Lytechinus pictus: one gene and its partner. Each later gene encodes a partner of the first gene's protein in a complex. Links are inferred from orthologs where the notes say so. Each region holds a gene or a part of one and is shown in the gene's direction. Other genes may lie near its edges.

What was found.
Region 2: actin-related protein 2/3 complex subunit 3-like (region 1) and actin-related protein 2/3 complex subunit 4 share a complex: the UniProt entries of both Caenorhabditis elegans proteins name them as parts of the arp2/3 complex. The link is inferred for Lytechinus pictus from reciprocal best matches to the Caenorhabditis elegans genes arx-5 and arx-6.

What each region holds. Positions count from the first base shown.
Region 1 is NC_087246.1:16,001,552-16,018,894, reverse strand, and holds actin-related protein 2/3 complex subunit 3-like, read left to right. Parts: upstream 1-8,978; coding exon 8,979-9,108; intron 9,109-9,845; coding exon 9,846-9,922; intron 9,923-12,298; coding exon 12,299-12,367; intron 12,368-13,124; coding exon 13,125-13,251; intron 13,252-13,468; coding exon 13,469-13,626; 3' UTR 13,627-15,266; downstream 15,267-17,343. UniProt on the Caenorhabditis elegans protein: Functions as a component of the Arp2/3 complex which is involved in regulation of actin polymerization and together with an activating nucleation-promoting factor (NPF) mediates the formation of branched actin networks.
Region 2 is NC_087247.1:40,225,922-40,242,510, reverse strand, and holds the start of actin-related protein 2/3 complex subunit 4, read left to right. Parts: upstream 1-10,479; 5' UTR 10,480-11,336; coding exon 11,337-11,339; intron 11,340-16,589. UniProt on the Caenorhabditis elegans protein: Functions as actin-binding component of the Arp2/3 complex which is involved in regulation of actin polymerization and together with an activating nucleation-promoting factor (NPF) mediates the formation of branched actin networks.

The sequences.
Region 1 (17,343 bases):
TATCTTGTTCTCTGTCATTGGTTTTAAAGGAACTAAGTACAATGAAATTGCGCTTTACGTCCAATGTTATATCCGTAGGGAGAAATTTTGGAGGTGACTTCCCTATTAGAAGCTGTTGAATAAATTTTGTTGAATAATGTGTACATCATTGTATAATTTGAGCTCTGCATTGTCAAATATTTTACTCAAACTAGCCATCAACAGAATATAAAGGTCATATTAATTTCTTATGGTGATGCATAATCTTGTCATACTATGGGCATTTATGGTGGAAAATGGGGTTTTAATTGTGAAAGCATGTAAAGATATTAAATCACCTGCAGTATATAGAGATACCAAGTGATCATTTTTCCATTATTATTTTTCAAGGTGATCTTTTTAAGTCTTTAAATGGACATGTAGGGGGGAAATGTATGACATAAATTATTATTTTCAGAAAAGAAAAAAAAAATCTTTTTTTTTTTTAAATTTAACATGAAAAAAATATTTTAATGGGATGTGGATTGAATATAGGTTTGCATGTAATATCTCAAATTCCAGTATTATCAGCATTGTATGTGCAGCAGTTTTATAGTACTACTATTTTAATCTTTGTGTGTACTTTGATATGATCTGGTGGGTGTTTCATAAAGCTGTTCGTAAGTTAAGAGCAACTTGAAGAACGACTGGTGATCCTTGTAAAATTCATTGGCGATGGTTAAGCACGTAAGAAAGGTTCACCAGTCGTTCTTAAAGTCACTCTTAACTTACGAACAGCTTTATGAAACGGCCCCCTGGCTTTTCTTTGGCATGTATGAGTCTTGAGTTTTGCAACTAATTTATTTGATTCATATGTTTCTTGTTGCTTTCATTTACATTCTCTACATTATCTTTAAATTAATTTACAAATTAATTCCCAACTACTTTAAGCACACTCAAAATGTGAAATGAAAAATAGCCTTCTGATATATGTATCTCTGCACAGTGTGAAGTTATTTTTTTGTATGTTCGGTTAAGTTTGTTCTTTATGCAATTTGAAATTATTATCAATTAGAATGCTTTTGTGGTGATGGTGTAATATTTTTTATGTAAACTTGTGATAGCATGTAAAGAATGAATGCCATGCAATACCCTTATCATATTCTATTTTTTTTTCTTTATCTCTTTTCATATTCTATCTCTTTGATATATGTCATTTAGCCTTAAAGTGCAGGCTTATCCTCAATTTTATTATCTCACAGTTTTCCTTTAAATGTGTGCACATTTATCATAATTCTTAAAGTGTGAATATTAAAGATGGCAGATCTTGGGAGAGGGGTTAAGGGAGAAGCAAAATCCTGTCATCCACCCAAATAAATTGGGATTTTACGCGCTGATATTGCAACATTACACATTCGTACAAGTATATTCAACATTGGTAATAATTAGTTTTCTCCCCTACCTCAAATTAGAGAAGCTAATAAAAGGCAATAGTTCTTGGATAACATCTATATAATAATTATAAGTATCAATTCTGCAATATGGAAATCTTGAATTAAAGAAAATAACATGGAAACAATTGTCATTATTATCCCCCAAAAATTAATTCAGCGTTCAAAGAGTTCATATTTTTACTTTAAAATAATGATTTCTCTGTTATCTATCAGCATTCTTTATCGTGTGCTATGGAGGTATGGAAGAGGGTAGGACATCAGATTCTGGATCAAATTGTTTTTTAATTTAGACTGATTTTAAAGTTGAGCCTTTACTGACTGAGCACCTGTTTAGTATTAAATGTAGGCTTTTAGTGAATGTGCCCATGGTCATCAGATTTAATCTTGCTTGTTCATGTTCACGCTCCACTACCGGCATGCGCATTCACATTCTCCACTTGCCCGGGAGGAATTTTGAAGGCATATTTGAAGCGCCTTTAGGGCTACAGATTCTAGTGACTGTTAATATGTACCAATTTTCATCAATACACCCACCTCTTTGAGGGAAAAGAAATAGTATTGTCGGTTGTTTTTTACTCATTGTAACAGTGGAATCATTTGAAATTGATATTTATATGCAGAATAGCTAATATATTTTTTATTCCACATTATTGATCAATGTTTATCAAATAAATTGGAGGTGAAACAGATTTATAATATAGTTACAAAATGTTCATATGTTAAGAGGGAAAGTCAAATCAATTTTTTAGGGGAAAACATGAAATGCCGGACATACATGTAAGCCTGGGCATACATAGTTTTGTATGTGTATTTTGAATGAAACACAAAAATTGTATAAATGTCAAACGTTTTGATAAATTGTAACTGACATAACTGATTTCATCAGGCAAAAACTTGACTAAAAGGCTGATTAAATGTGCTCTGAGCAATTTTAGACTTGATCAAGTTTGTTGTATACAACTAAGTTAATGTGTAGTTAAGTTTGAATTCAATACTATGTCAAGTATGTACTTCCACTTAATTCATATTAGTCAAAATAAGCATTCATAGTTTCAAATTAATTTTCCAGTATTAATTAATCTTGGTTATTGGGCTTAGTCTTGTCATCTAATATTTTCACATTAGTAATTATTTAAGTTGACTTATGATTATTTGCACAACTCTCTAATCAGAAAATCAATATGTATTTCTCAATTTTTATTTACACAACTGTAACTTTTGCTAATCATTTTGCATGTTTTTAAAAACATTTTTATGTGTAGGTATATGTATTTATAAATCATCAGTATTATTAAATTTATTATTCCTTGAAAAGTGGATAAACCTTTTGGACTAAATTATTGGACCTACATGAAATTTGGTCCTATTTGCATTAGTCTTTATATCAACAATCGCTACATGTACCAGTTGCTCGAACCCCCCCCCCCCCAACTTTAAATGAAGTTTTTCTGTGGAAGTTTGGACAAGTAACCAATATTTTATTTTGTAATTTGCAATGAGTCTTCAGGCTGATCATAGAGTTTATAAGGTGATGTTCTTTTTAATATTCACCAGTGCAACCGAAACCAAGGATTTCACTGAAATATTCAGAGCAAACATTAGTGCTGGTAATTTTCATGAAATTTCCCAAACTTTAAGAGAAAGTTGACCCTAAAGTTAAGTTTATTCAAATAAATCAAATGTGAATATTGCATTGAAATCAGAAAAAAAAAATGATCGTGTTATTTATGGTTTTCATTATTTTAGTGAAACAGAGTAGTCGAAAAAGCACTTTTTTGTATTTTTTATCAGATTTTAAAGGGAAAGTTCACTTGAATGAATTCAGAAAAAAAATAGAGAAAAGGGTTTATTTTCAATTAGTCCGACCAATGCCAATTTGTCCAATTACCAACTTGTCTACTATCATTTGGTCTATCATCAGTTTGTCAACTTTTCACATGGTCTAATTGCCATATCATCCACTCACCATTTCGTCTGATAACCAGTTCATCAAATAGCCATTTAGTCCATATACATGTACCATTTGGTCTAATTGGACTAAGTGTTTATTGGGCAAAATGAATGAAAATAAAATATTAGACCAAATGGTCATAGATGAACTGGTGATTAGAAGAAGTGATGATTGGACCAAATGGTTATTGAACCAAATAGTTGCTAGACGAAATGTTGGACGGAATGGCATTAGACTAAATGAAGGTAGATCATGTGGTGAGTGGACGAGTCGGCAGTAGATGAATTGGCAATTGACCGAAAAAATACTGGTCAATGTTTAATGAAAATTTGTCAAAGAATAACAGAGATGTGAATTTTTTTAAATTTTGATTTTGTGACATCAAAGACTAGCAGCATCTCTATATTTGATATATATTCACAAAACTTGCATTTTCTCAAAGATACATAAGTGATTCTATTTGTACAGTGGGTATATCATCAGACACATATACCACCTTCTATAAGAAAAAACATGAATTTATATTATGTAATATTTTTAGCAGGTGTTTGTGTTTTTAATTTGAAACATAAAATCACAGTAATCAATCCATGTATGGGGGAGCTTCTTGCTTGCATCGTCACATTAAAAACATTAAAAATTAATGTTTGGGTTAATTTTCTCTAATTTTTCTGCTTTTATTAAGACCATCTTATCAGGGTAAACTTCCCCTTTAAATTCATAATTTTCTCTTCTTTAACGTGTTTAAAGAATCTCTCCCTTGTTTCAGAATATGCAAACTAAAGGATTGCATGACCAGGTTTTTTGTTCTTTGGCCAAAATCCTAACATATTGTTTGCTATTTAATGAAATAAAATGCAATAAAGTGTGTGTGACACCACTCCACTCAGCTTTGCATTGCCTTATTCACCGTTTTGGGCACCATGCGAAGTTTGACATGCTCATATTTTCTTATTTCATTCAATTTTGAATAGTTTGAATAATATTGGAAACATGGGGTGTGATTTGTCTATCACTTTGATGCATAAGTGGATTGATCACAATTTGAATTATGCCACAGCACCCACACATTGTGAATATTTATATCATGTAACCACTGAAAATTTGCTATATCAGGTATTAAAGTCCTATATATATACTTTAATTAATTCAAAGGAATTTTTTGAATTATATGTTTCAGAATCTCATTTCATTTTGTACTTCTGGTATTTCTGAAGACATACATGTAATATATACATGTTAAATCATTTACCTCCATTGTTCAATTAAAGGAATTATTTTTAGAACTATCTGTTTTGGATTTTTCATTTTGAACTTCAAACATTTCTAAAGACTTACATGTAAATTGAAGGAATAATTTTGGAAGTACAGTATCTGTTTAAAAAATCTTATTTCATTTCTAACTTCTAATATTTCTAAAGACATGATTAAAGTTATTTAAATCCATGTGGTCTGCCTCTCCTTTTTCTCTTTTTGATAATAGGTTATATTGGAGTTTACTATAGGCCTACATGTCTGATATCATGTGGTTTGTTCAGTCACAGAAAAGGAAATACTCCGCCTCTATAAACTAAAGCCTTACTGCCCCCCACGCCTATATAAACCATCGCGATTTGTAGTTCTTGTATGTAAGAAGTGGACTTTATTTTTTTTTCTTTGAAATCATGCATGGAAAATGGGGGAGAAATAAGTATATTGAATAATGTGAATTATTAAGGGACAAAACGTAATAAAAAATGAAATTGACTTCTGTTTACATTTGTTTGTTTTATTTTATTCCTCTGATGATCCAGCTGGCACAAATAACTTTGAAGTTATATGTTTACTTAAAATGTTAATTTATAGCAAAGCAGTTTAAACAAGTTGCAATGTAATTTTGTTTTCCCCGAAAGGGGGGATAACGCCGGGGATCTGGCTTGAAAATACAATGTGAGACATTTCAGGAAATATGTGTTCTTCACTGCTATTTCAACTTATTCATCTTTCCATAATAATCATTTCATATGATTGTGGTCGTTTTTTGTGGGCATCATCGCGGAGGGAAAAAATGGTTTAAAAAATATATATAGGCCTATATGAGCATGGTGAGTTCCGTCGTGTTATCGCCTTCTTCCTTAACGTATTCATTTAGAATTCCATCGCAAACCTAATTTCTTCACAAAAAATGGGCTATGCTTAAAAGGTACTCACTCAGCCTCAAGCGTAATATTCTGCCAAAAATCATTGCTATATACAGAACCCTGGCTACTCCCCCTCCCCCCCCCCAAAAAAAACCTTGCAACTCGTTCCATCTACTCAAGTTATAACTCGTTCCCTCTACCTAATAACGCGTTCGTTTGTAATTTCTTTCCAATTATTCTTCTCCCTTTCCCCCATTCATTTTCTTAATTTCTTCTCTTATACTCATGACTTCCTCTTATCTTTCTCTTCCCCTTGGCGCCGCCAATATGGGGGCACCCACCCCCCCCCCCCCCCATTGATCCGCATTTGCAAACATGATAATGAGTAGACCCAACAAGAAGGCTTCTTTTTTCTAAACAGTGGTATGGTTTTTTAGTTAAAACTGTATTGGCCGTCTTGAAATGAATTGCCACGACACCGGACTCTGTGAAAATCAATGGAAATCCCCGAGTTTTAACATAATTATTTGAGGGTCAGCATGTTATTATTCTGTCTACCATCGAGACGCAAAGACTCTTCTTGTGTACGTACCGTTCAGCAAATTTTTGAACTGGTGATCGGGGTGACGACAGATATGGTGAGAAGGGGAATACACTTAATATTGAACGTCTAGAAAAAAATATGATAAAAAAATAACTTAAACAATTATACGAAAACAAAACAAAGGAGCACATTGAGAAAAGAGACCTATCTTTACACACTCCCCCTATCATTCAGCAAGATACGATGACAATTTTCAAAAAGTGGTATAGATATTATAACATCTGCTTATACTTTTACAGAATTAGCTCCTGAGAACATTCCTTTATAGGCCTACTTTTACAGTGAAACCACTCATTTCATTTCATTTTCATTTAGGTTTTATTTCCACAAATCCGTTATGTTACAAAACTTAACTGACATAACTAAGCTGAGCAACCATTACAGACGTAGACTATATAAGTATAGATAGCAAGCATTCTTAATCACTACATATCAATACATGTTTAAGTACATAAAAAAACGGAAAAGTGGAGGAAACCTTGGAAGCAGAATGCTTGTAGATAAGGTTCCCTTTTTTATACAGTACATTTGACATTACTACTTAGTAATAATACACGTGACAACATTTTATCAATTAAATTACACCCACAAAAACAACACAACACAGAAACGTGACAAAAAACAAAGAAAGAAAGAAACGAAGAAATAAAAAAACAAAAGAAATAAAGTAAGCAGCTGCCATCCAACAGAATTTAAGAAACTTCTGGATAATAAGCTCTGTGGACAAAAATGCAATAGAGCATGCCAATAAATAGCAATTTCAGTTTGTTTCATTATATCGAAGAAGAAGCTTTGCTTTCAAGTGATGTTTGAAAATATTATAATTTTGTAGTTGCTTAAGTGTCATATCCAAGGAATTCCAATAAACTGGACCAGTATATACTATCGTTCTTTTCCTAAGTACTGTTCTCAACCTATGCAAGTGAAAGAATGACGACTGTCGGGTAGGGTAAGTATGCAAATGTTGATTCTTTTGGAATAGTGATGTAAAAGCATGAGGAAGATCATTTGAGTTCAATTGAAACATGAAACACCCTAAAAATAAATTATATAAATCATGCACCTTTAATACTTTATTGTTGAAAAATAAAATGTTTGTGTGACTTAACCTGTCAGAATGGCAAATTATTCGCAATACCCGTTTTTGAAGAATTAACAATTTATCCAGTTGGTAATTAAACGAATTACCCCATGCAAGTATACCGTAGTTCAGTGGTGCACTCAGTGGTGCACAGGAGGGGCGGGGCTTATGGAAAAAGAGTGCAAGGAGAAGGAGTGAAATGTAATATATTTTTCTATTATCTCAAAATTTGTCACAAAAAAAAGAGTCCCCGTTTTTTTTTATATAGAATGTCAAAAAATTTGCTCCTCGCTTTGGAGTGTTCCAAATTTTTTCAGTTTTATCAAGGAATTTGTGGTCGCTATTTTATAATAGACAGATGGTCCTTCTAGATCTATACAGGTAGTAAAAAGTTGCTAGGCTTATAGTAGACAGCTGGCAGCCGTCTGTTTCTTTCTACCTCCATGGTTTCGAGGAGTTTTTAACATTTTAAATTTCTCCTCTGTATTTGGTGAGTGGAGCCAACGGAGTTCAGCGAAACAACCAACATAACAGAGACCGAAGCATTTGGTCTAGTAATCTTTTCCAGTATTGTCAAAGAGGTACATGCGGGAAGGAGGGGGGGGGTGTGTAAAGTACATGAAAAAGGGGCCCAAATACACCATGTGCAGCTGTGTTTTGGAGCGAGAGAGCACACGCCCACTCTCTCTGATACGCAATATGCGCTACGATATGCCGCCGCGCGCGCCGATGAGGAGTATGTACCGCGGAAGTGTCACACACGGAAGTGAGAAACGACGGCTCAATTGTTGTCCACGAAAAAGACGGAGATTTCATTTTATTTGCCGTGAAGAATCCATATTTTGAAAACCAAAATGCCGGTGAGTGTTCTTACAATTGATATTATACCCCTGTCTTAGCTTGGTGCTCATACATTTAATATTTAACCTCAAATTAACGTCAATATTTGGGTTGAAACTTACATACAGTCGCACTCGTAAGGTTTTGTGTTGTGATCTTCTCAAGGCAAGGGAAACCAGTCTATTCGAATTCAGCCATGCTTAGGGCGTTAGGCTTGGTTTCAGGACTTGAAAGTTGAAACTGGGACTCGGACTGGGTGGAGTCAAGCTAATGAGACAAAGGAGTAAGGCAATTAGGGACTGGGCAAGGCGGGGCTCAAGACCAGGCTTAAAATTGTGTAGAAAAGGGAGCTGAGACTGCATCGACTGAGTCTGAGGATGAGAAAAGTAATTAAATTTAATTCAAAATGAACCAAAGCTCAGTCAAAGCCAAGCAGTCATGGCAGTAAACATTAATGACTGGTAGATTTTAGATCTAAAGCTACATGTTTGTGGAGGAGAAGAATGAAGCCTTGAAGTAGGCGAAGGAAGCGAAGCCAAGCAAGGTCAAGGAGAAAGGGAGGAATTGATTTTAAAAAAAAGATAGGTCTAGATCTGACTAGAGAAGGGGAAAGAACAGCATGATGAAGAAAGTTAGATAGAACTTGGAAGGCAAAGAGAAGAGAATGAAGGAGAAGAAGAAAGAAAATAGAATGAGATACAGAAAGAAACAAAATGATAAATTATTGAGAAATATAGATGGAAATATTAGATGTTTCAGCAAGGAATTTACAAATATATACAACCTGTACCGGTACTACATGTAAGTAAAAACTAACATTTTCTTATTCATGTCGGTTAATTCATGTATTTTTGTTTATTTTTCTGTTTTACATGATGATGTTTTTGCTGGTCTTGATTTCTACTTGTAATTTCAAGTGTTGATGAACAGTTTGGTTACTCCCTGAAATTGGCTTCCCAGAACCAATGCTATGAAATCAATGTCCAAATTGCTTTGTCATATCCAGGCCTATCACTCACAGTTGAGTACCAATATGAAGATTGGAAACCTGGCCCTTCTACCTCTCAATACCAAGTACAGAGGACCAGCACCACCTGGCAGTAAGTTGACCCATGTTTACTAAATTCTCAAATCCATAAGCATTATAGGCCTACAACAGTAATCAAGTTCTAAAAGACAGGAGGCTAGAAAGAGACTACCTTACTCTGGCATAATCATCCATTAGGGGAGATTCACTAATGTCATGGCTTAAATGGGTTTCAAGTGTGATAGAATCATTTCTATTCTATATTTTATATTTGTCTAATTCTTCTGAAATTTATTGTATCTATTAGTAAATCACACAGGGCCAGTATTCTGTGAATTATGATCTCTCTAATATCTTACTTCTTTAGCTCTAATTGTATTTCATTCTGATTCTTTTGACATTAACCCTTAAATAGATCGAAAGAAAATGTCTAAATCATAACGATGAAAGTGTAACTTTATATCATTGCTCAAGCACTTAAAAAACTACAGGAGTAGTCCGCACTCTAATTCTTATCATTTTAATTAATTATAAAAGGGTAAATTTCACTTCAAAATGAGAAACATTTTAATTGGTTAATAGCCATCCTTGGTTACAGCATATATATGAACTTGACCTTTTTTGTTATAGGGTTGGGTGAGACTTATATTTTGAAGTAGTTATGTAGGTACTTGTATCTTGTTATATGATTTGTGAATCAATATCATTCCTCTTTTTCTTTTTTTTTGTAAATTGCTGCTGATGAATGTTTCTTTAGAATTAGATATTACGATCTTCATTATTTTTTTTCTATCTTTCATTCCCTCTAAGCTGGAGAGAATGACATCGTTGATGAAGCCCTTTTCTATTTCAAGGCAAACGTTTTCTTCAAAAATTATGAAATAAAGGTAGGTTTGATTGATGAAATCTATCCGTCTACTGGTCATTCATTGAATATGTTGAATATGTATGCATTGAATGGATGGATGGATGGATGGACATTTGAAAGAACAAAAGTATGTATGAACTAGAACTGCAATCGTATCAGAATGATGTGCATGCATTGACGCCTGTGATTTAAAGGAGAATGAAACTCTTGGAGCAAGTTAGCTTTTGTGAAAGCAGAAAAATCAAAGAATAAGATCAACAAAACTTTGAGTAAAATAGGACTAGCAATAAAAGAGTTATGAGCATTTGAATGTCGAGATCACTAATGCTATGGAGATCCTCCCATTGGCAATGCGACCAAGATCTGTGATGTCACACACGTACAACTCTCCCATTTGGACACTGAAAATATACCCCAAAACATCTCTTTTTGCTCATTCTAATCATATGACAAACGATTCATCAATGATATAATGTTGTGAAACCTCTGTACTTGTCATCTCATAAAGAGAACACCTCACCTTGTGATAGACTCTATAAAAGTGAGAATATAAGTGAAATAAGTACTAAAGTAATGAGGGAGTTGTACGTGTGTGATATCACAGATCTTGGTCGCATTGCCGTTGGGAGGATCTACATGGCACTAGTGATCTCAATATTCGAATGCTCATAACTTTCTTATTATTAATTCAATCTTCCTCAAACTTTCAACAATATGTTTCTTTGATTTTTCTCTTTGATATGGATTCAGCTGGTTTCAAGGGTTTCATTCTCCTTTAATAGAGGGCAAGGAACAGAAGAGAGAAAACTGTAGATGATATCCATTTTCAAAATATTAGAGGGCTCTATTTCTTAAAGGAATAGTCACTGATGCGTAAAACACAGTTGGATTATGTCAAATGATACAATTGGCAAACCCTGAAAATATGAGATCAAAATAAATTAAAACAAGGAAGTTATGGCAATTTTACTATTTTCCGACTTTGCAATAGAGGACGCTATTTATTAAGGTAATGGTCACTGATGCGTAAAAAACGTTTGAATTATCAGGGATGGTACCCTTAGCAAACTCTGAATATGAGACCATAATGATTGAAAACTAGGAAGTTATGGCCATTATACTATTTTCGACTTTTCAATACAGGGCGCTATTTCTTAAAGGTAATGGTCACTGATGCGTAAAAAACATGTGGATTATGAGGAATGATACAATAAGCATACCCTGAAAAAATGAGACAGAAATGAATGAAAACAAGGAACTTATGGCCATTTTGATATTTCTTTAGTTTGCAATAGAGGGCGCTATTTCTAAATGTAATGGTCACTGATGCGTAAAAAGAATATGGATCATGAAGGATGATATCATAGGCCAACCCTAAAAATTTAAGACCGAAATGAATAACAACAAAGTTATTGTCATTTTACTATTTGTTGACTTTGCAATAGAGGGTACTATTTGTAAATTTAATGGTCACTGATGCGTAAAAAAATTTGTTGAATTGTGAAGGATGATACCATTAGTGAACCATGAAAATATGAGACGGAAATTAATAAAAACAAGCAAGTTATGGCCATTTTACGATTTTCCTAATTTGCATTTCAATAAATATGAAAATTTTGAACGTAGACTATCTTGGATTTGAATTAAGGGCAAGAAGACGGCATTTTGAAGGGCAAGTTGTATATTTATATGAAAGAGCAACTCTTAAACAATCTACTGCAATTTGTTAGAAGTCTGTAGCATGCAGGATTCGGGAGTTAGGACGGGATTAGGAATGGTATGCAAATGGACTTGAAATTTACAAAATGGCGCCTGGATAGTCATGCATGAGTGATTTTGGAAAATGGAAGACGAGGTGCACAACTAGGGATGCTGGACAACATGTCTACCAAGTTTGGATGAATTTGGATGAGGGACGGAGCCAGGGCAGAGCTAACAAAAACCATGTGTTAAACAAATGGGATTTTGTGGAAGAAGAAGAAGATGACGGAATAGGAATACGGAACAACAACAGAGCATTGTCGCCTGTAGGCGTCAGTGCAATGAATGAATAAATGAATAAATAAATGAATGAAAGAGTGAATTATTGAAAGAATGAATGAATGAGTGAGTGAATTAATGAATAGTTTGTTGATTGATCGAAGATAGATCATTGATTTATTGGATTATTGATTGATTAATTGATAGGTTTTATTTGATTATTTATTGATTTAGTGAGTGTTGAATTAGATAATTTACGAAAAGAGATGATAAATTAATGAATTAATCATTTTAACTAATCATATTTTTATTAGAATAAGACAAACAAAGAACCATGTTAATATTGTTCTAGTAATTCTTAGGCTCATCTTTTGTTCTTAAGATAATGTGGTTTGATCAAATTATATTTTGACAGGGTGATTCTGATAGGGTACTCATCTACCTCACATTGTACATCACAGAGTGCCTAAAGAAATTACAAAGGGTAAGTTAAAAGTCTTCCCCAATGGTACTATCTGTACAAATGATGTTGACATATATATCTGTGTACTTCTATTTCTGGTGAGGTCCTTTGACAAAATATTACCCACTTTATCATTTCAGAGTTGGGGACCACACTCAGCATCTTTTCTGTTCTAATTTAGTTGGATTTCTCCATGAAAAAAAATGGGGGTGGTGGTGGGGGGGGGGGGGGGGTGATTGGGAAAGTGGCTGTAAAATATGCCATTTTTATTGTCCTAGACCTGCTTCAAATTACCAGTTAGCCTATCACATAGGTACTTGCAGTATGGAACTAGTCGCTGGAAACAAAGTGTGTGTGTGTGTTTTTTTTATGAAACTGGTCATTCAGCCTAAGTACATGTCAATCTTCTTCAGCCAAAATTAACCATTACGAAGAAGTTTGACTTGAAGAGGTAAAGTTCGCAAATTGTGATTAGGAAAATGTGGTCTGAAAGATTGCTTGACTTGCCAGATGATTGTTTATCTTCTAGAAAGTCCACTGTCACAGACTATTTAAAGGATACCAACACATACATATTCAAATGAATGATGATGATAATGGCTAATGTTATCAATTACATGTACCTGTTATTCTACCACATAAAAATCCGAGGCAATTCACAGACATCGCATGTAAAGGTCTCAGCATGCATGCTGATTCTAGCTTTTTAAAAGTACAGTTGATTGTATTTGATAAAACGACTCACTGTGCTTCTCATTTTGTTGATTTACCTCACCAGTGTTCCTCTACAACTGATGCTCAAAAAGAGATGGCCTCTCTAGCTATTGCAAAGTTCAGCATTCCAGGAGAAGCAGGCTTCCCCCTCAACGCCATGTATCAAAAACCAACCAACAGGGGAGAAGAAGGTAGGAAGAATAAAGGCCGTACAACAGTCTTTTTGATCAGGTGTTGTTTCTCAAAGCCAACTGTGAAATTTTGCAAAGTAATGAACCACTGAGACATGTCAAGCAGAATCAGGTTTCCAAACGTTCAGGATATTGAACTTATAGATGTTGATTTTACTGTAATCTTGTCTTGATTTAAAAAAAAATTAATTTCCATAATTTTCCTTTGTGTATCCAGACCAAATGAGGGCCTACGTACAGCAGCTGAGACAGGAAACCGGCCTGCGCCTGGTGGAGAAGGTGATGGATCCACAAACCAACAAACCAAGCAAATTCTGGATGTGCTTTGTCAAGAGAAAATTCATGGATCGCAGCCTCTCTGGCCCTGGGCAATGAAGAATTAATAATTTTTGTAATTATATAGGGCAGTTCCATTATACTCAGTCCCATGTATTACCTATCATGTCATTGCTTTCAGTTAGATATAGCAGTATCCTGCTGTAAGCCATACATGTGTATGTAAAAGCCTGAGGTGGATGTCACATCAGTTAAACAAGGATGCTACTTCTCTGACAAAAGGAGCAATTTATACATTTTCCAAATTTTTTGTACAAAAGGGTGTATTGCTCTATTTTAGATTAATTTTGTTTTTTTCAATGTTAAGTAGCATCTCTATTTAAAGTGATCTTCTTTTGCTCAGGTCCATGAGCCATGACTTGGCCGATCGCATACATATAGAACTGGCAGTTCTAATACACACTAACAATTCTTGGTAATACATAGGGCATATATGTAACTTCTTACGTGCCCAAATGAGAGACATGATGCATAGTGCACACACATACACATGAGATTGAGTCCATAATAGAAAGAGGATGTATTATAACTTTTTAAAATGAAATTTTATCAATCTCCAAAAGACACTCGATACGCTTCTGTTACATCAGAGATATATCTTTGTTTTATAAATTTTGCACATTCATCTACAGAAAAAACATGTTAGTAGGTGAATTTTCCCCATACTAGCTCTCGGATTTCGTCTAAAGAAAAGGTAGATGTGTGACCAATGTTTAGATTTCCAGTTTTTATCACCGGTATCCAAAGTGGATCAAGTGCCTTCTGGAAAATAATGCTCTAAAAGTTGATAAATTTTAAACATTACGTGATCGTTATTTAGTAATTTCCAGTAGTAATCATAGGTAATCGAATATTGATTTTAGTGAGAATAATCATGATTACCGCCGGTATTGAGGATAATTTAGGCCTTTGGAGGGGCCTACATAAATGGAAATACCTGAAAATATATTGCTCACAAAAGCCAAAGCATCTCACATGATATATGTATGATTTCCATTTACTTCACTTGAAATTTATAAAGCAGTCAGTCAGTAATCTTTGCAAGAGGTATATGATAAAACCTAAAATATTAAATATTATGAAGGTAGGAATATGTGCACTGCACAATGATGCATATTCATTATTCCTGGTTTTCTCATTAATCAGGAAAAAGGCTATTTTTTATTATGCACAACAACCCATGTAGTACAGAAACATTCTCCCTTTTCAATTTTCTTACTTGACTTACTTGAAGTACCCTATTAGCATTCCAACAACCCCAAATATTTATGTATTTTGAAAACATGAGTTTTATTTGGAATGTTTGATTAGGCAGACTTTCTATTACATTTTTTTTCTTTATTAGACTGATGAAAAATTATTTATGATTTTTGTGTACACCCATGGCATTTATAAATAAAAATAATGCAAGGAGAAATATGTTGGCATCAAATGCATTTCTTGTCAGTGTTACCAATTCCATTAGTAAGCAAGTAACTAATTTGGTAGGAAATGAATGACACATTTAATTGTTATTCCATAGATTAGTTCTTTAAGCAAATTATGTGTACTTAGATTTGTACAGAGATTGTTCCATGTGCACATGTTAAATGATGAGAAACTTCTTTCCAACATTGTATTTATATTAATCTCATTCTTGTATCAATGAAATAAAAAATTAAAGCACACTTAGATCAAAATTTTGGAGTGACATAGACGCTTTTATTCAAATTTCTAAGTCCAGAATTGGTTTGGTGAATAACACATGTATGAAAAAATGAAACATTTATGATTTCATGTAATAACATAAGAAAAAGGAAAGTGGGGATGTGATATCATCAGCCCACCTAGTGAATATTCATGATGACGTGAATATAAATGTTTTCACAAAATATTGCTAAACTTTAAAATTAAATAACTTCATTATTTGTTATCCGATTTTAATGGAATTTTTAGCATTTTGCTCTGAATTTTACTCTATTTGTTAAGATATAAATATTCTCGGCCTGGAGTATCCCTTTAAACTACAAAGCTCCTACATCTAAGAACAAAACAATATTTTTAGTGAAATATAATATCGTGAGTTATCTTTTGACATATGGTGCCCTTTGAGCCATGGGAGAGTTTCATGTAACATTTTATCAAGACTATTCAACATTTACTCTCAACTAAGGATTTTAATAGCTTGTAAAGGGGAATAATCCAACCTAGGTCATAAAATGTTGTATGAGAGAGGAAAAAATAAGTAAAACCGAATTGTGAAAGTTTGAAAAAAATTGAAAAGCCATGAGAAAGTTATGACTGCTAGTATAATTTTGATCCCAAACTATGACTTGCAAATCAACATTTCTGGATGTGATACAGTGCAGGGCCATTAGGTCATGCACAATTATGAAGTGTTTGTATTTCATTGACAATAGAAATAGTTTTGCGGATGAAAGTAATGGCAAATGGAGAGAACAAAATGTCTTGAGAGGAAAAAAAATGAATTATTGTTAAAAAAGAAAAGGAAAAAAAAAGGAGTATTTGGAGATATCGGGGTTCGAACCCGAGGCCTCTCGCATGCAAAGCGAGCGCTCTACCGCTGAGCTATATCCCCTTGCTCGATATGTTGAGGTGCATTAAAAATTATTATATTCAAAATGTTTTGCTGTATTACACAAAATCTTTTATTTCTGAAATATGATAAGGTCATTTCAACTTTGATATCATAAGTTCTTTACTTGCATTTGTAATGCAATCTATGATATATGTATCTACTCCAAGATTTCGAGTTTTACGAACCATTTTCTCACGCACTGAGCAACGGTCAAAGGTCGCCGGCCAGCAGCGTTCATCGAAACCAATTACACGTTCCCATTCGTTGATATTTGTGTTGGCTAATTGTACAGCATTAGAATTGTTGTTGACGATGACGACTGTCGGAATGGGAGTCTTTTCAAAGCGAATTTATCATCATATTTCATAAATGTCACACTGATTATGGATGAAAAGCCACCACCAAGTAGAAGGTCATCCGGACACAGTGATAAATCGAAGAAATCTGGTAAAAAGAAGAAGAAAAACAGCAAGCACAACAAAGATCGCGATCGCAAACGAAGTCCGGAGGAAACAAATTCTGACAGTGCATTGGAAACAAGTAAGCTCTCTCTCCCCGGTCTCTCCCCGGTCTCTCTCTGACTCGAAGTCAAATTCGGTACAGACGGTAGTTTACCCATTCCTACTCCTAGTTACTTAAAATTTGTTGAAAGAGAATCAGGAGAAGGGTGGGGAGGATGGGAAAATTAGAATATGAGGAGGAGGATGTGGACAATGTCAATGAAGAAAAGACGTAGAAATCTCGAATTTGATTTTGGAATACATGTATACCCAGTGGTTGTGTGTCCGGACGGGTTGGGTGTCCGGACACATGACTTTTACTCTCAATTTTGAAAAGTTTACAAGCAATGTCTTTAATTCTTTTTAGCACAGAATATAAGAAAATATTATAAAGAACAAATATTGATGGTGAAAAAAACTACTCAACCTATATTTGTGGTTTATTCCTGAGATAAAAACAAGGCTTCATTTCTGTTACGTGTCCGGACACCCTACCCCCCATCCTACCGGTAGTATGATCATGGTGTTCCCCAGGCCAAGTCTGCGCACCTAACAATTTAAATTAAGATTTAACACAAATTTCTTTCTATTTTACAAAATCTTCCAGTTAATGATGTTCCTTATATTATTATGAGTAAGTGTACCAAATATCTCATAAAAATTTGAAAGAAATATAGG
Region 2 (16,589 bases), on another chromosome or scaffold:
TTTTTTTTCTTTGTTTTTATGACAATTAAGCAACAAAAGAAGGTCAAAAGTCATCACATTTTCGTCTTTCCGTCGAATCAACACTCCAATCACCATGGGCGGAAATCCCAGGGGACAGAGGGACGCGTCCCCCTACCCAAAATAGTAGGGGGGGGCACAATATCAAATGTCCCCCTACTATTTGTGGTCCTTTAATTATAATAGAAAGAAGTACATCATTCAAAATCGAAATAAAACATGTATTTTAGACGAGTTTATCTTACTTTTTTGGTGATAAACTTTTTTTCCCCTTTTTTTTGCCTGTCAAATTTGCCAGCCCCTGGCCCCCCCCCCCCTACCTTTGGGGAGGGATTTCCGCCCTTGCGCAATCAAACGACACCACGACGCAACTTTTCTGTTTAAAAAATTGTATTTTTTCCGGATCCGTGCACCATTGATTACATTTCAAATATGGCTTTTAGTTTAGCTTATTACAGGGACTTTGTCAGAACTTTAGACCGTCGATAGTCGCTTGTATTGAGGTTAATTACATCCTCAACAGGATACGTGTTGTGGTCAAGTTGTTTTATATATTACTTTGTCTGGTATAATTATATCACTTGAAATGTTGACTATTTTCCGTATAATTAAAGGAACATTACAACCCTGTTTTACGTTAGATCAGGGATGTGGGAGTTAGATTGATTCAATTACACAAATAATCAGGCACTCATATGGGAGTGGAGAACTATAAAAAGTTAATTTTATAAACTCTTAAAACAGTCTTATTTCAAGAGTTAAGCCTACATAGTTCTCTGCATAGAGAACTTATAAAAGATATTGATTAAAGAAAATAAATTATTTTGTCATTTAGAAAAAAATCGTGTTTTCAATAGAATATAATCATATTCCTTTTCAAATAAAAGTGTATTAAAGGATTAAAATAAAATGCCCATTGTCTGTTTGGGTATTTATCGGAGATTTTTTTTCTAATTATGACAACTGAGTTTTGCATTTAAAAACTGATATTCTCACGACTCTAGAACACGCAACAACCACAATATGACGGAAGATAAGCCATTTTATTCTATTTCGATTTCTCTCTTTACAATATTGAGGAAATAGAATCTCACTTTCAATGCGAGAATGGTATACTTTGCAACAGAAAATTGCAAGTATACCCTTTTAACAAAATCATAAGAATGGGAATATCCGCGGATCGCGGGGGTGCCAGGTTATAGGCTTGTTAAAGAAGAATGAAACTCTTTGAGCAAGTTAGCTTTTGTGAAAGCAGAAAAATCAAAGAATAAGATCAACAAAAGTTTGAGTAAAATAGGACTAGCAATAGAAGAGTTATGAGCATTTGAATGTCGAGATCACTAATGCTATGGAGATCCTCCCATTGGCAATGCGACCAAGATCTATGATGTCACAGATGAACAGCTCTCCCCTTTTGGACACTGAAAATAAACCCCAAAACATCTCTTTTTGCTCATTCTAATCATATGACAAACGATTCATCAATGATATAATGTCGTGAAACCTCTGTACTTGTCCTCTCATAAAGAGAACACCTCACCTTGTGATAGACTCTATAAAAGTGAGAATATAAGTGAAATAAGTACTAAAGTAATGAGAGAGTTGTACGTGTGTGACATCACAGATCTTGGTCGCATTGCCAATGGGAGGAACTACATGGCATTAGTGATCTCAATATTCAAATGCTCATAACTTTCTTATTATTCATTCAATCTTCCTCAAACTTTCAACAATATGTTTCTTTGATTTTTCTCTTTGATATGGATTCAGCTGGTTTCAAGGGTTTCATTCTCCTTTAAGGTGGGAAAGGCCGCCGAAAGTGTTGTCATATCTTTATCAAATAGAGTTATACGGTCAGGATATCTCTTTTTTATATTCTTCTTTCTTTTCTTTCAGTTCTTTTTTCCTTTTTTAAATTTCATTACTTAAAAAGACATAGAGGTCGCCCCCCCCCCCCCCCGTGTGGATCTTTAAGCGGATTAGACACAATAGTTTTGAGAGGTTGACTATTGTGCAAAAAAACAAAACAAAAATAAAACCAATATGGCGCTTAAAATGGTATTTTATCTAATCCGGCTGGATCCGCGCCTGTGTAAACCACGTAATCTTCTTTTTTCATCTTTATTCAATTTCAGTCTTCTGAACAAGTAGTCATGAGATGTAGATTTTTATCTGAGTATTATCTGAAAATGTAATTATTAATTTTCCAATACGCCAGTATACCACATATAATAATCATGAACCTCTTTTCATAATTTCCATATATCCAGCATAAAAGAATGAGTTGATCACATACAATTATATTTTTTTTAACCTGCTCTACATAATTATTTAAGGTCTTTAGGGAACTTGAAATAAAATCCAGTTTTGTACCATAAAGTAAATCTTTAATTCCATGTATCAATCGGGGTCGGGGTTGTTTGCCTGGGGTTCAGGTTTGAAAAATTTGCCCCGCTGAAGTGAAAGAAAGCAAACCCCGAAGCAAACAACAAAGTGAAAAAATTAACCCCCCCCCCCCCCTTTTCAGGGATGGAGGAAATTCACTGCAAGAGAAACGGGAGATGGCGCTCTGTCTTTGAGCAGTAATCCTATATACGGAGAAGGGATTATGGTATAGTGAGAAATTATACATGGTTAGCTAAAAAAATGTGCGATTGATCGATATCTTACTTGGCTTCAGAGTAGAAATGAAATATATATATTTCTTGGCTATTATACTTATCATACAGTCGTAAACATGGAAAGATTCCAACTGGTAAATATATCTGTATAAGCGGTGTATAAGGCTGGAGAGAACTCCGAAGTGATAGTAAAAATAATTCCAAAAAAGAAACCTTAAGAAGTAAAGAACTAAAAGTACTATAAATAGGGAACATTTCTGCCCGTCAAAATGTACAAATTCGGGTATGTACTTACCGTTTTCTGCTACTTTTTAGCAAACCGGTTTTCATGCAAAACTTTGAAATATATATAACACCCCAATTTTTTTTTTGAAAATTCATTGCATGTAGATTATTCTTCTAAAAAATAAGATTTGATTTCTCTTCATACAACACCAAAGTAACAATCGTGTGTAATTAAAGTAGCCTCTACACTAATCATTTCTTTAAAATTGTCTTTGAACACGTTTAATCAGAATTTCAAAAGAAGTGTATAACCTTTTGATACAATGTCATATATTTTAATTGATTTATTTTTGGGTCTGAACTTCTGAAGTAGTATACCTTCACATATTTTTTTTCTCTGTTTTCAGAAAGAAAATAAATATCGAAATTACAAACAAAGAGAAAGAGAGGAGGAGAAAGATCTGATTGACTTCCATAACATATCATATACAGTCATGTTTATGAATTACTGCTATATAGTTACAATTGTATTGATGCAAATACGATCATTTCTCTGAGTAAAAAAATACGTTTAGATAAAAGCAATGTAAGACAAGATACACTGTATGAATTGTGTTCTTTATAGTTGTTCTTTTTTATACATTTTTGTTTAATAGTCTGAATACGGGCAAGAATTTTAAAAAAGCTTTACAAAACGGGAACTCCGGATTATATTTTTTCATCACAATGCTTATGAAACATTATCGTTGTCATTAGAGTAATAAAGAATTCTGATTTTCAGGCAGAATAGTCCGACCATTAAGTATTCTGCATTAATACTTTACATTAATAATTTGTATATATATATATATATATATATATATTGTAAAGAAATGGATGAAGAGAACAATGGTAGGCGTAGCTTAAATCAAGGTTCCCCAGAGCTATCCAAAGGGTAGATAGCTCTGGGGAACCTTGATTTAAGCTACGCCTACCATTGTTCTCTTCATCCATTTCTTTACAATATAAATAAAAAGAGTTGCCAAAGCTGTTGTACATGTATAACTTTACATATATATATATATATATATATATATATATATATATATATGTATATATATATGGTAATTCGACCAAAGAGTTAAAATACATCATGCCAAAAACCAAAAAGTAAATGCATTCGTTTTGCTGGTCAAACTGAAATATATATTTCGTTCAATAATTAAAGACACTTTTCCAAACAGCCAACGATTGAATGAAATGTCATGATTGTTAATTATCAGGATCAGAATTAATTGATTCTCAGATTCCAATGCAGCCCCCCCCCCCCTCCCCAAAATATATTAAAATTGAGAAAAATGATATTTTGCACAATGTGCCGGGATATTTACTTTACATCATCCATCACGTACCAATATCAAAATCCATAAAAGCTCAGACAAATAATTTCCTGGGTCTTCAGCTAGTATATACCCACCATCCAAAGGTTATATTTCTTCATTTTTCATTAAGATGATTCGGTCTCTAAGACTCGTGACTCTCTGAAAGTTAGTTGATGGAACGAGTTATAAGTAGCAATTCCTCCTCAGTCACAACCGCTTGTTAATGCACCGTACATAATTCTTAAGAATCTTATTAAAGCCGTAAAGGGGGCAACATCCCGCCCCATCCACGTTAGAACCTTTGCCTTCCATTCGCCCCCCCCCCCACTCCTGCTTTCAAAATCGTGATATCGCTACAAGTTGTAGGTCATGAAACGAATTAGTATAGAAGAGAGAACGAATTATGAGAGAAAAACCTGCCCTGACACCATTATGATTATGTGCCACGTATCATTTGAGCATCTCATCGCTCCTTTTTATTTTCCCACCCACGATAATAATCATTCCCTGTATATTTTTCAAAAACAATCCATTTATATCAAAGTCATCATTGTATACATTTAGTTTATATGATATTTGCGGTCCAATCAGATATTCACCTAGTACATCTTGTTTGATCGCTTCATTTGCCATTATCTAACTTTCCTTGTTTTGTTAAATGTGCTAAGGGGAAACTTTATTTTGTCTTTACCGATTTCTCACTCTTGTTTCCTTGACTTTCAACTTTGGCTCTCAATCTCAGACTTTTTCTTGTGCCTGTTGTAACACCCTCATGACCACGATGGCATTCATGTTTGACATCTGCATGTTTGTCTTTTTCATTCGGTTCCGAGTTGGCCATCTCCGAATGTCTTCGCTTTCTCGATTGCTTGTTTGGTGAAAAGCTGTGTAAAATGTCATCTATTTCTTCAGCTTTGGATGTGCCTGATATGGTTTTCTCTCTTGTCATTGACACTTTCCTAGACTTTCTTGATTTTGATGTACACGATGTGCGAAACACTTGATAAAAATCATCATCATCTTCCTGTGTTATTCCTAAGATGTTGTTTGTTGATTTGTTATTTCTCGCTCCTCTTTTACCAGAGAGCTTTTTCGATTTTAGTTTGTTTGATGGTTTCACATCATCATCATCATTGGGCGCAACTTCCTTTATTCGTTTTACATGCGTAGTCTTCCTGAATTTCCCGATGTTTTCCAGTTCGCTCTTTGACACATCACTCTCATATCTCAGTTTTTGACATTCAGGACACCATGTCGTCATCCGCTTCAGTTCATCTCCAAAAATCCTCTCATTGTCTTATGACCATCGGGACATTTAAATTTCCAGTACATTTTTAACCAGGAGCCAAATTTTTTGTACTCTGTCAACTCTTCCTCCCATTTTAACCAGTCCTTTGTAAATCGCAAGACTTCCGTTGCGAGTTGCACTGCTTCATCTCGGGTCAAATTACTTCCTAGCTCAAGAGGATGCTTCCGACATGCATACAATACTTCATTCTTGACAATGTTACCAGCTCCTGCGAAGTATGTCTGGTCCATGATGGTATAGCATACTGGTATTGGTTTCTGTAGCGCTGCCGTCGCCTTTTCGACATCGAATGTCTCGGAAAGAACATCGGTTCCTTCGTCTTTGCATGGTCCGTCAACAATACGGATGCTGCCGCCGTAGAAAACGAGAAATGTCGTATCTTCAAATAGAAACTCGACCATAGGATTCGGAGCTTTCGGTGAGTCTAACCTTTTTGCTCTCTTCGAACGCTTTGAAGGTTCTTTATATTCGTTCGCGCGAAGGCTACCCCACATCAAGAAGTGATAGCGATACCAGATGGAGTCTTCTCCGTAATCTTGGTCTTTTTCTCGATGATCATGCACCTTCCGCGTTTTATTCCTCCTGGGTGTGTCCAATTCCTTGTCACTTGTGTCCCCTTTCGAAAAACCCTCTTTGAGGAGTTGAAAAAACAACTGCTTGCCGTAAACGACAACATCGTTGATGAATGCACCTCTCCATCTCTCGCGTTCCATAACTTTGCTGACTCCTTTCACTTCCTTGATGCGTTTCTTGAGGAATTGACGAGCGATGTTACCCCACCGTCTAACGCTCGGACCTTCGGGCATGATGCTGCCGGCGACACACCTGCAATCAACAATAGACATTTGTGAATATAATTTGAAAGACAAACATGCCTGTGCCAGAAAACTGCGGTATAATTTTAAAATTCGACACCTATATAGCCCCCCCCCTTCAAATTCATCTGAAAAAAAAAATTTTAATCATCAGCGATGATGATTGGATCTATCATACTAATACCAATGTATTATGATGTATCTATAGTATACATAAAATTATCGATTAGTATAAACGTATATGCAAATCTAGGGGCAGGCGAATGAGTATATTATAGCCGCACCCCGGGGCCGCACCCTCCCATTGACGTCGCGCAAAGGGAAAATGGAAAAAGGGATAAGAAGGGGAGAATTAAAATAATGATGATAAAAAGAAGAAAAAAAAGACAAGTGTAAGAAGTTAAGTGGATAAAATAAGGACATGGGGCAATAGGAAACTGGAAGAAATAAATAAGGTCACTAAAGGAAATAATAAATTTTCGCTCGCGCTTCGCAGTTTTTTTTTTGAGATACGAATGCATCCTGTTCATGATCTCACTAATGGAAAAGGGTGCTTAAAATGTCCTTTTCGGCATGTTCAGATCTGGATATAAAAAAAATCAGCTTACGCTTGCACATCAAAGTAAGATATATTCACATTTTCATACAAGTCAAACATGTGCTTAAAACATTCTCTTTTCAGGACAGTATCAAACATTTTCAGCACGATCGCGCTTCGCACTAGATCTGCATCATGCATACAGTATATAGCCCGGATATGTAGGCCATGAAAGATATGCCACCCCCCCCCCCCCCACTGAAAATATCAATCATGAAGATAAAAACCTGAAGATAATCTTTCATGATTCAAGGCCTGGGCAAGTAGAGACTAACATAACGACCGACTTTATGGATATGCTTTGAGTTTCATCTAACTCCTGATATCGGTCTTCTGTACTTTTTTTGATAATATCGGTGACATAAAAACAAATACGCCCCCCAAAATTAACAAATAATATATAAGAAAAATCCTTAAACAATTAAACATGAATCATTTTCGTTTATCACAAAGTTGCTGTTGAAGTTGAATTGGCGTTGCACAGCGTCTACCCGGCGTCTACCCTTATACATGTAAATAGATATGGTCAAGTTCGACCAGGGCTTCTACTTCTACGACAATACTCAGCAGGATCCATAAGTCAGGATGTGGATCCAGCTGATGCAGTCGCTTGTGGACTACTCCAGAGGACTTCTGTAGGTTCTGTATAGGAGTGACTCCACGTCCCGGCTCCACGTGTAATTGCAAATGACCAAAAAATGCAACTCGACCATGCCGACGACCACAACAATCATATTACGATATTCTCTTGACCCTACAACGCATTTTCGACTTACAAAAAGCGAGCAGAACATTCATCGGTCACCTCCTACAGATTTCGGCATCAGTTCCTTTAGCACTTCACCAATACACTTATATCTTGACCTTTCGTATGTCCAGAGAGTTGACCAACGCTCCCGCACTCTTCGCTTGGACGTGTCCGATACTGTATACAACAGACAATAACAAAAGATCTAATCAAATGTTGTATTGTTTGTGGCCCCTGTTTAATGCCGGATGGGCTGAATGATGCCTGTTGAGTATAACGTCGCGCCCCGGCAGTCGTGTGAAAAGGCCGCCAGGGGGTCGATGTTTGCAACAAAGCCTGTACTTTGTATACAGTTAGAAACTCTATTTTTACATCCTTCCTCTGGCTCGAAACAAGCTTCTATATTTTCCTTCATTTATTTTTTAGGTGAATAAGCTTGATATATGTCCTCGATCCCCGAATCTTTGATTTGACGATTACATTATACACAATGAATAATTACACATTACACAGTTTGTGTCAATTGTAAAGAATCTACTTGATGAATAATGTATTGACTCTGTGCATAAGCCATTCGAGACCCTTCATCAGGTACCTATATCATTAACATTTTTTTTCACAATATCGAAATATCATACGGCCTTATTTAGAACATTTAAGACGTACAACTAACAAAGTAACTTTATCTACAAAAAAAATCAAAGATTAATTCTAGTGTAAATGGGACAAAATATATGCCTACTTATGGCAAGTTAGGGTAGTTCGTAAACAAAGGCATGTACATCGATTTTAGTTCCAGTCTTAAGGATGACCACCCCCCCAAAAAAATAGTAAAAAAATAAACACTGTAAAAACAGACGTACAGAGAGACAAACAAACAAAAAGGGTAAACGTGGATGAAAAATTTTCAGCCCTCACCCTACCCCGCAGACAAGAATAGAATCTGCTCCCAAATAGATCAAGTTGTAATTTTTAATAGTTTCCTTCTCCTACGGCAAAATATACCCCCGGCCCCCGATGTACTTAATTTTTAATTCTAGAGCGTTCCTATTTCCGGTATGACGAGGCCCTCCCCCTTTGTAAAATAATTAATATCGAATTAAGACTGCCATGATAGCTTTTTATTCAAGCTCCCTTTAACTCTCACGTGTTATATGAATATATTTTTTTTTTACTTATTGCTTTATATTTTGGTTATACTCATAGCAGGGCTCCACACTAACCCTTTTTTTCTACTGGTCCAACCTATTCATGTCGGACCAGTAGATACCCAGTTTTTCAATTTTTTACTGGTCCGAACCTAAAATCTACTGGTCCCAAAAAATAAAGAAAACATTAAAAAAAGGTGTGAGTTTATTTTGCTGTCCTTTCTTGTTACCCCCCCCCCCCAAAAAAAAATGAAGGAATGAATGAATGAAAGACAAAAAGAAAGAAAGGAAGAAAGAATAAAAGAAAGGAAGGAAGGAAGAAAAAAGCAAAGGTAAAGAAAGGATAGATGTGAAGGAAGGAAAAAAAGAAAGAACTAAAGAAAGAAAGAAGGAAAGGAAGGAAAGAAAGAACAAAAATAAGAAAGAAAGAACGAAAGAAAAAAAGGAAGGAAAGAAAGAAAGAAAGAAAGAAAGAAAGAAAGAAAAAAAAAGAAGGAAAGAAATGATGCAAGCAATAAAGAAAGAAAAAAACAAAAGACAGAAAGTAATGAAAAAAGAAAAAGGAAAGAAGCAATAAAACAAGAAAGAAAGGGTAAAAGGAGAGATGGAAAGAAGGAAAAAAGAAAGAATAAAAGAAACGAAGGAAGAAAAAAGTAAAGAAAAAATGTGAAGGAAGGAAAAAAAACCAAAGAAGGAAAGGAAGGAAAGAAAGAACAAAAGAAAAAAAGAATGAAGGAAAGAAGGAAAGAAATGAAGCAATCAATATAGAAAGAAAGAACAAAAGACAAAGTAATGAAAGAAAGAAGGAAAGAAGGAATAAAAAAAGAAAGAAAGGGTAAAAGGAGAGATGGAAAGAAGGAAAACAGAAATAAAGGATTGAAAGAAGGAAGAAATCAAGAAAAGGGAAAATGATAGAAGGAAAAAGGAATGTTGGGAAGGAATAAAGAAGGAAGGAAGCAAGCAAGCAATATAAAAAAAAGAAAGAAAATGTAAAAGAATAAATGAAAGGAAGAACAAAAAAGAAAGACCAAACTTCAAAGAAAGAAAGGAAAGGAAGCAAGCAGTAAATAAAAGGAAGAAAGAAAAGGTAAAAGGATAGATGGAACAAAGGGGAAAAAGAAAGAACAAAAGACAAAGAAGAAAGGAAGGAATGAAAGAGAGAAAGGGCTGAAAGAAGGAATAAAAACAAGAAAGGGTAAAGAAAGGATGGATGGAATGAGGAAAGATAGAAAGTAACAAAGAATGAAGGAAAGAAAGGGGAAAAGAAGGAAGGAAATTAAGAAAGAAAGAAGAGATAAATATAGGATGGATGGACTCAAGAATTAAAGAAAGAAGGAAATCAAAAAAGAAAGAAAAAGAAAGAGCATTAGAAATAGAGAAAAATATTAACAGGACAGAAAGAATGAAAGAACAAAAGACAAAGAAAAAGGGAAAATTAAAAAAGAAAGACAGTAAAAGAAGAGAGGGAAGAAACAAAGAAAGATTGAAAAGAAAGAAGGAAAGAAAGATTGAAAGAAAACAAAGGAAGAAAGCTAAAACTATCATCATAAATAAATTATCAGTTTCTTTTTGGCTCAATTAAAATATACTAGTACTAGCTACAAAAGAAACCAAGTGTATCAACACACACACAAATGCATATGTGGGGCTATCATGTATTCAGACGATATCACTCGAAACCCGATCTCTTTGAACTAAAACAGAAGTGAAAATTTCTCCTTTTACTGCTTACAAATGACAGAGTTACCCCAATTTTGGCAATTTTTTAGGAAATATGGACATTATAAGAGCTTTTCATTAGTGTGAAATGTGAATTTTGACAGTTCTGTGAGAGATTTCTGCCAGAGGTTAGCCAAGCAAGCTTCGTCCGTGCAGCCAGTAGGAAATTTACCATGTGGGCTGTGTGGCTGGCTAGCCACGTGTACACTGTATGTTACCCTATCAAAATTGCATGCGATTCATTCTGTGTGTGTTCTGTGTGTGAATGCCAGAATTCAACGGGAGGAAAAGGGTTCGCAATTTGAGTCATGGAATATTTTTCATGTTTATGTTGGACTAGCGAATTTGACCATTTCTGAAAAAGTTACTGGCCCAACAATAGTTTTTATTACTGTTTATGTCGGACCCATAAATCTTGCTATTTTTGGAAAAATTACTGGCCCGACAATATTTTTTACTGGTCATGTCGGACCAGTAAATCTTGCTATTTCTGAAAATCTACCGGTCCGACAGTGATTTTTACCGGTCTGGGACCGTCGGACCGGCGCTAGTGTCGAGCCCTGCAGTCATAGAGATGTATACATCTCTATGGTTATACTATATTCGTTCCTCCCACATTCTACGCATCTTCTCGATTGCTTCCCCACCACATTTTCGTCGTTGTTTGGGTTTGATCACTCTTGTTTGGCTCCCTCTGAGTTGAAATCAGGAGAGGCATTTCGTGCTGATGACCGGGCGTTTCCGATCCTGGTAGTGTAGGAAGTGCGATAAAAGATGGTATGTATTATTTATTTTAGTAAAAAATAACTTTGTGAATCGATATTTATCGTATTTTCACTTTATATGTAACCATTGGCAGTCAGAGGCTTGTTGTCAAGTTTACTGGTAACGCCCTAAAAGGTGTCTAAATTGAACGCGGAAAAGGATGTCGAATATCTCACTTACGCCTTTATGGTCGAGGCACAGTTCATCCACGGGAGCGTTCTGGCCTGGCTTGCCTGGTGGTCTTCGCTACCTGTCCGTGCTGCGCCGCTGTCCATTACAATTGACTTCCGGTTATCCAAATAATTTTGACATCCCAATATACCATAAAATAGATGCCTTAATCATGTAATTTAAATTGAAAATATGTATTGTACAAAGTGATCCGAAACAGAACACACAGAGTTTCAGCTTCATAGTTCATACAACTTGAACTATTACAACAAAATAAAACTAAAACTAAGTTTAACAATAACATGTTTAAAACTAACCCAGAGAGCTCCCGCCCGCGCAGCGGGCGGGAGCCCAGAAGCTTACCGTGTATTTGACCATATTCACCGGACTAGGGTGATTTATGGTCTAAATATTTCTCCAAATGAATTGTGAAAACAGAAAGTATACAATTACCACGATTATATGGATGAAGGTCTAACGAGTGGCAGATTCCTGACATCTGGGCACAGTCTGGAACCTCAAAAAAACGAAAAGTTCTCTCCTTCTACCCCGTCTCGATCGGCCATTTTTGTTAAAAATCGTAACAAAATGGCCGATCGAGACTGGGTAAAAGGAGAGAACTTTTCGTTTTTTTGAGGTTCCAGACTGTGCCCAGATGTCAGGAATCTGCCACTCGTTAGACCTTCATCCATATAATCGTGGTAATTGTATACTTTCCGTTTTCACAATTCATTTGGAGAAATATTTAGACCATAAATCACCCTAGTCCGGTGACAATGGTAAAATACACTGTAAGCTTCTGGGCTCCCGCCCGCTGCGCGGGCGGGAGCTCTCTGGGTTAGTTTAAAACCTGGCAAGGCCTAGCCAGGCGGCTTCTAGAGAGTAAAAATCATTTACTAACGTAAGGTCACTCTCATGAAGCCAGGCCTTCTATCCCATAGACCCACACAATGGAAGCCAAAACCTGAAACTTTCACCCCCGAGATTTCTACTTTCCTTCTAAAAGATCTAGCTCTAAATCATGTACATGGGATAAAACTTCATTTCCGACATTTCTACGCTCTCGTTGTTATTTTTAAAACAAGAATTCATCAAAAAAATGAAAAAATATTGTGAAAAGACGGAAGAGACTTGCCCGATGTTTACGCCGCCATCTTGTTTCTTATTGTACTTCCCCAACGTTACGGACGCGAGCGTCATGATCCCAAAGTCAAATTCGCTTTACAGAATTATAAAGTAGGTCAAGGGTTTTGCTTGTATCGTGATCTCAAAATTCCATGACGATAGACTAGTGCGCGCTCGGCTGAAAAAAAGTGTCGTGAAAAATTGTGACCCTAATTTGCATGTCACGATCGTTCTGCAAAGCTTTAGAAAAGAAATCAAGCAGACAAAGGTACATGTAAGATAATTGTATCAAATGGAGGTTAAAATGCCATAAAATTGGTTAGTATCACATGTTTGGAGACCTTTGATTTCTGACACTTAACTCTCATCCCCATTTACCGAAAGTAGTACGTTAGTGCGAGCCCTCGTGTGTAATCATTTCTCCCAATTCGGGCCTTTCGTGTTTTGTCTAGATTTAATTTTTTTTTAAGGTCTAAATGACATTATATTATCTTGAACGATGGCCTTTATTTTTGTTAGACTATAATCTTTCTTTTGTTACAACAAATTTTCTAATAAAATTCGAAAATATATGTTACCGATGATTTATTCCTTTATTTTAAATTTGTATGTTGCTGCCCTCTACGTTAGTTGAGTTAGGCTTTTATCAAGGCTTTCTGATTAGAATTTTCTATATCCTGGCCAATCAAATGCGAGCGAAAAGTTCTGAACGAACGCACATAGACAAGCGCAACGCAGGGGCAGGTATCGCGATATATGGCGACTGGTAAATACGTCTGTAAGGATGATAACGTCATCCAAGATGGCAGCTTATGATGACCAACGAAAGGATCGAGGATGCCTATGTTTTGATCATCATTTGAAAGGAATTAGCGGTAACCCGGGGGGGGGGGGGGGCACTCAGTATATAATGCTTGGTGGGTATGTGCCGTGGAGGGGACCCCCACTTTTACACTCAAATTTCTGTTCAAAGGCATAGCCAAGGCTCCACATTAACTTTTTTTGGTGGTGGCCCGTTCGGGCCACCAAAACCTTCAAATAATTTTTTTTGGTGGCCCGATATTAAAGTTTGGTGGCCCGAAAAATATAAAGAAAAACATCAAAAATGAATAAGTGGGTATAAATGGTTTAACCACTGTCAAAAAAAATGAAAGAAAATAATAAAACGGCAAAAAAAAGTGTGAGAAAATTCCTTCCCTAAATTTGCCAAAATGTTGGAAAAATTCACATTTCATATGAATGAAATGCCTTCTCAAAGTATTTACTTTCTCAAGAGTTGTTTAAGAAATCATTTATAAACAAGAAAGAAAGTAACTGTCTGTTTATTTTTGGCTAGAAAAGACCGGAAAAGACACAGCTTTGAAAGAAACCAAGTAACAACATACATACAAATGCACATGTGGGACTGTGATGTACTCACCTAAAGATGTGTTTTTATGTGTATTATTTTCATTTGGAAATCGGTCTTTTTGAGTCAAAAGAGAGGTCATGATTCCTCTTTTTAATGCTAGCAAATTATCAGGATACACCAGATTTTAGCAAAAAGGTCTGTAGAAGGGCATTTCATTGGTGTAAAATGTGACTTTGGCTTGGATTTTCACAGTTCTGTGGAAGATTTCTTAGCAGCAACATTTCGTATTGCAGCTCCCTGAGTCTGAATAGGCTGCTAACGCACAGCTGCTTCAAGCATGCAAAGCTCACGCCAGCCGGCCGGCACAGCCGGCTGGATAAAAGCTACTTAATGCTGTAGCGGCAGGCCAACTTTGTGTGTAGATCAACAAAAAGGGCGCATGACAAACTGGCTTGCAATTTGAACTGTAGAAAGTTGATAAATGCGTGCAAAATGTGGAGAAAAATTGCGCTATTCTGAAAATTATTGGTTGCCCGATTCGGGCCACCAAAACTTAATATTTTTTAATTAATGGTTGCCCGAGGTGAATTTCTGGTGGCCCCGGGCCACCGGGCCACCGCTAATGTCGAGCCTTGGCATAGCATTTGTTTTCTTATTGAGAAAAAGAACAAAGAAAGCCACTTGAAAGCTTAGTATTTCTTCTTATCGAGAAAAAAGGAGAAAGAAACAAAATGAATTAAACATTTGGCATTATCCCACACTGACTTCTTAATCATGATAATGCCATCTACGACAATCAAGCATCAATACATTGAATAAATACCTTGTAACACCGCTCTCCCTAGACTCGCCTTGCCCTTCGTGGTCTAGCGGATACGTCTATGGACTAGACAAGTTTGGCAGGGCTCCACATTAAACCTTTTTTTTCTACTGGTCCAACCTGTTCATGTCAGACCAGTAGATCCCCAATTCTTCAATTTTTTACTGGTCCGAACCTACAATTTACTGGTCCCCCAAAATAAAGAAAAATATAAAAATAGACTTCGAGTTTATTTTGCTGACTTTAATTGCTTTTATTGCCCCCCACAACATAATTCATGAGAGCCATTTCTCAATTCTGGGGAGCCATTTTTTAAGATGCCAGAGCCATTTTATAATTTACAAAAGAGGGGAAAATATCATTTGTATCAGTATAATGTATTTTTTACTGGTCATGTCGGACCAGTAAATCTGGCTATTTCTGAAAAACTACTGGCCCGACAGCAATTTTTACTGGTCTGGGACCATTGGACCATGGCGTCTGTGAACTGAAGATCATAAACAGGCAGCACAGGATGAAAAACTCCCAGTAAAAATATTAGTTTTTACAGCTAAGTGCTGATCATTTAAGCTTTTCGCTATGAATGAACAATGAAGAGGCATGATACATGTAGCTCAGTCGGTATAGTGGGGTTACGGATTCCGGTGACCAGGGTTCGATTCCCACCAATGCACTAGTGCTCTTTGGTAAGGCATTAATCCTCATTACCAGGTCCCTCTGAGATGACCTCAAGCCATCGGTCCTCTAGTTGCTTGCTTACAAGCATTCATGCTTATCAATCAGGTAAAAATCATCACCATAATTTTTACTCTTTCTGATTCTTGCAGTGATTTTAGCCTTTGCATTCCATACAATGAGTTCTTACACTACACTTCCTTCCAGATTTCACTTTCATTGTCAAGATTTTTTGCGTAATTATGTTGAGATGATTCACACCCCAGGACAGGGTGATGTCATGAGCTATCATTAACATGATCGCTATCACAATTCTGAATCCAGCTTGGTGTTGGAGCTTGGTTCAGCAGTATCACCTAATTACATGTACTTGTACTGTCCAGTGGTCCCTCAGACACAATTTTTACATTTCAATAGCAAATAAATGAAGTGTTATTGTTGGCATACTTTGGTATACCAGGGGCTAGATAATTAATATTGGTCTCATTTTAAAGCTTAATGTGACTACATGTTTATAATAAGAAGGACGACACTCTTCACATGGCAGTTCAATTCACTGATTATCAATAATAATTGATTTAAAAAAAAAACATGAAAATCTTCATTCATATAACATACCCAGAAATATCGGAGCGGGACATATTATGAGATGATTTTTCAGCCGAGTGGAGACTTATTTTCATGTAATTGGTGTAATATTTATATGAAAGCTGAGTGCATGTATAAAATCTACCTGATCGTTTCTGATGGTATAAACTCATTTACACATAGATTTGTGTCATTGCCCTCAATAAAATGAGGAAAAATTGGCGGTGCTTGATGGGTGTCAGAAGCGGTGGACATTACATGTAAATCGATAGGATCGTTGCTTTGCTAGTATGCATAAATTTGGTGTATATGGGCTTGGCCTTTGATTTTGGTTTCATTTTACAGCTAAATGCACATGTCTTGACAGTGCACCTCTTCATTCATTGATTTGTTAGAATTTTTTTTAAGTGATGAAGAGGGTAAGTTTTAGATGTTTGAAATATGCAAAAAATGTTCATATCAAAATGTCCTTGATATGGTAAACGAAACCCTTTGATTTATGTATCATGATCATCTAACAGAATTTCATACA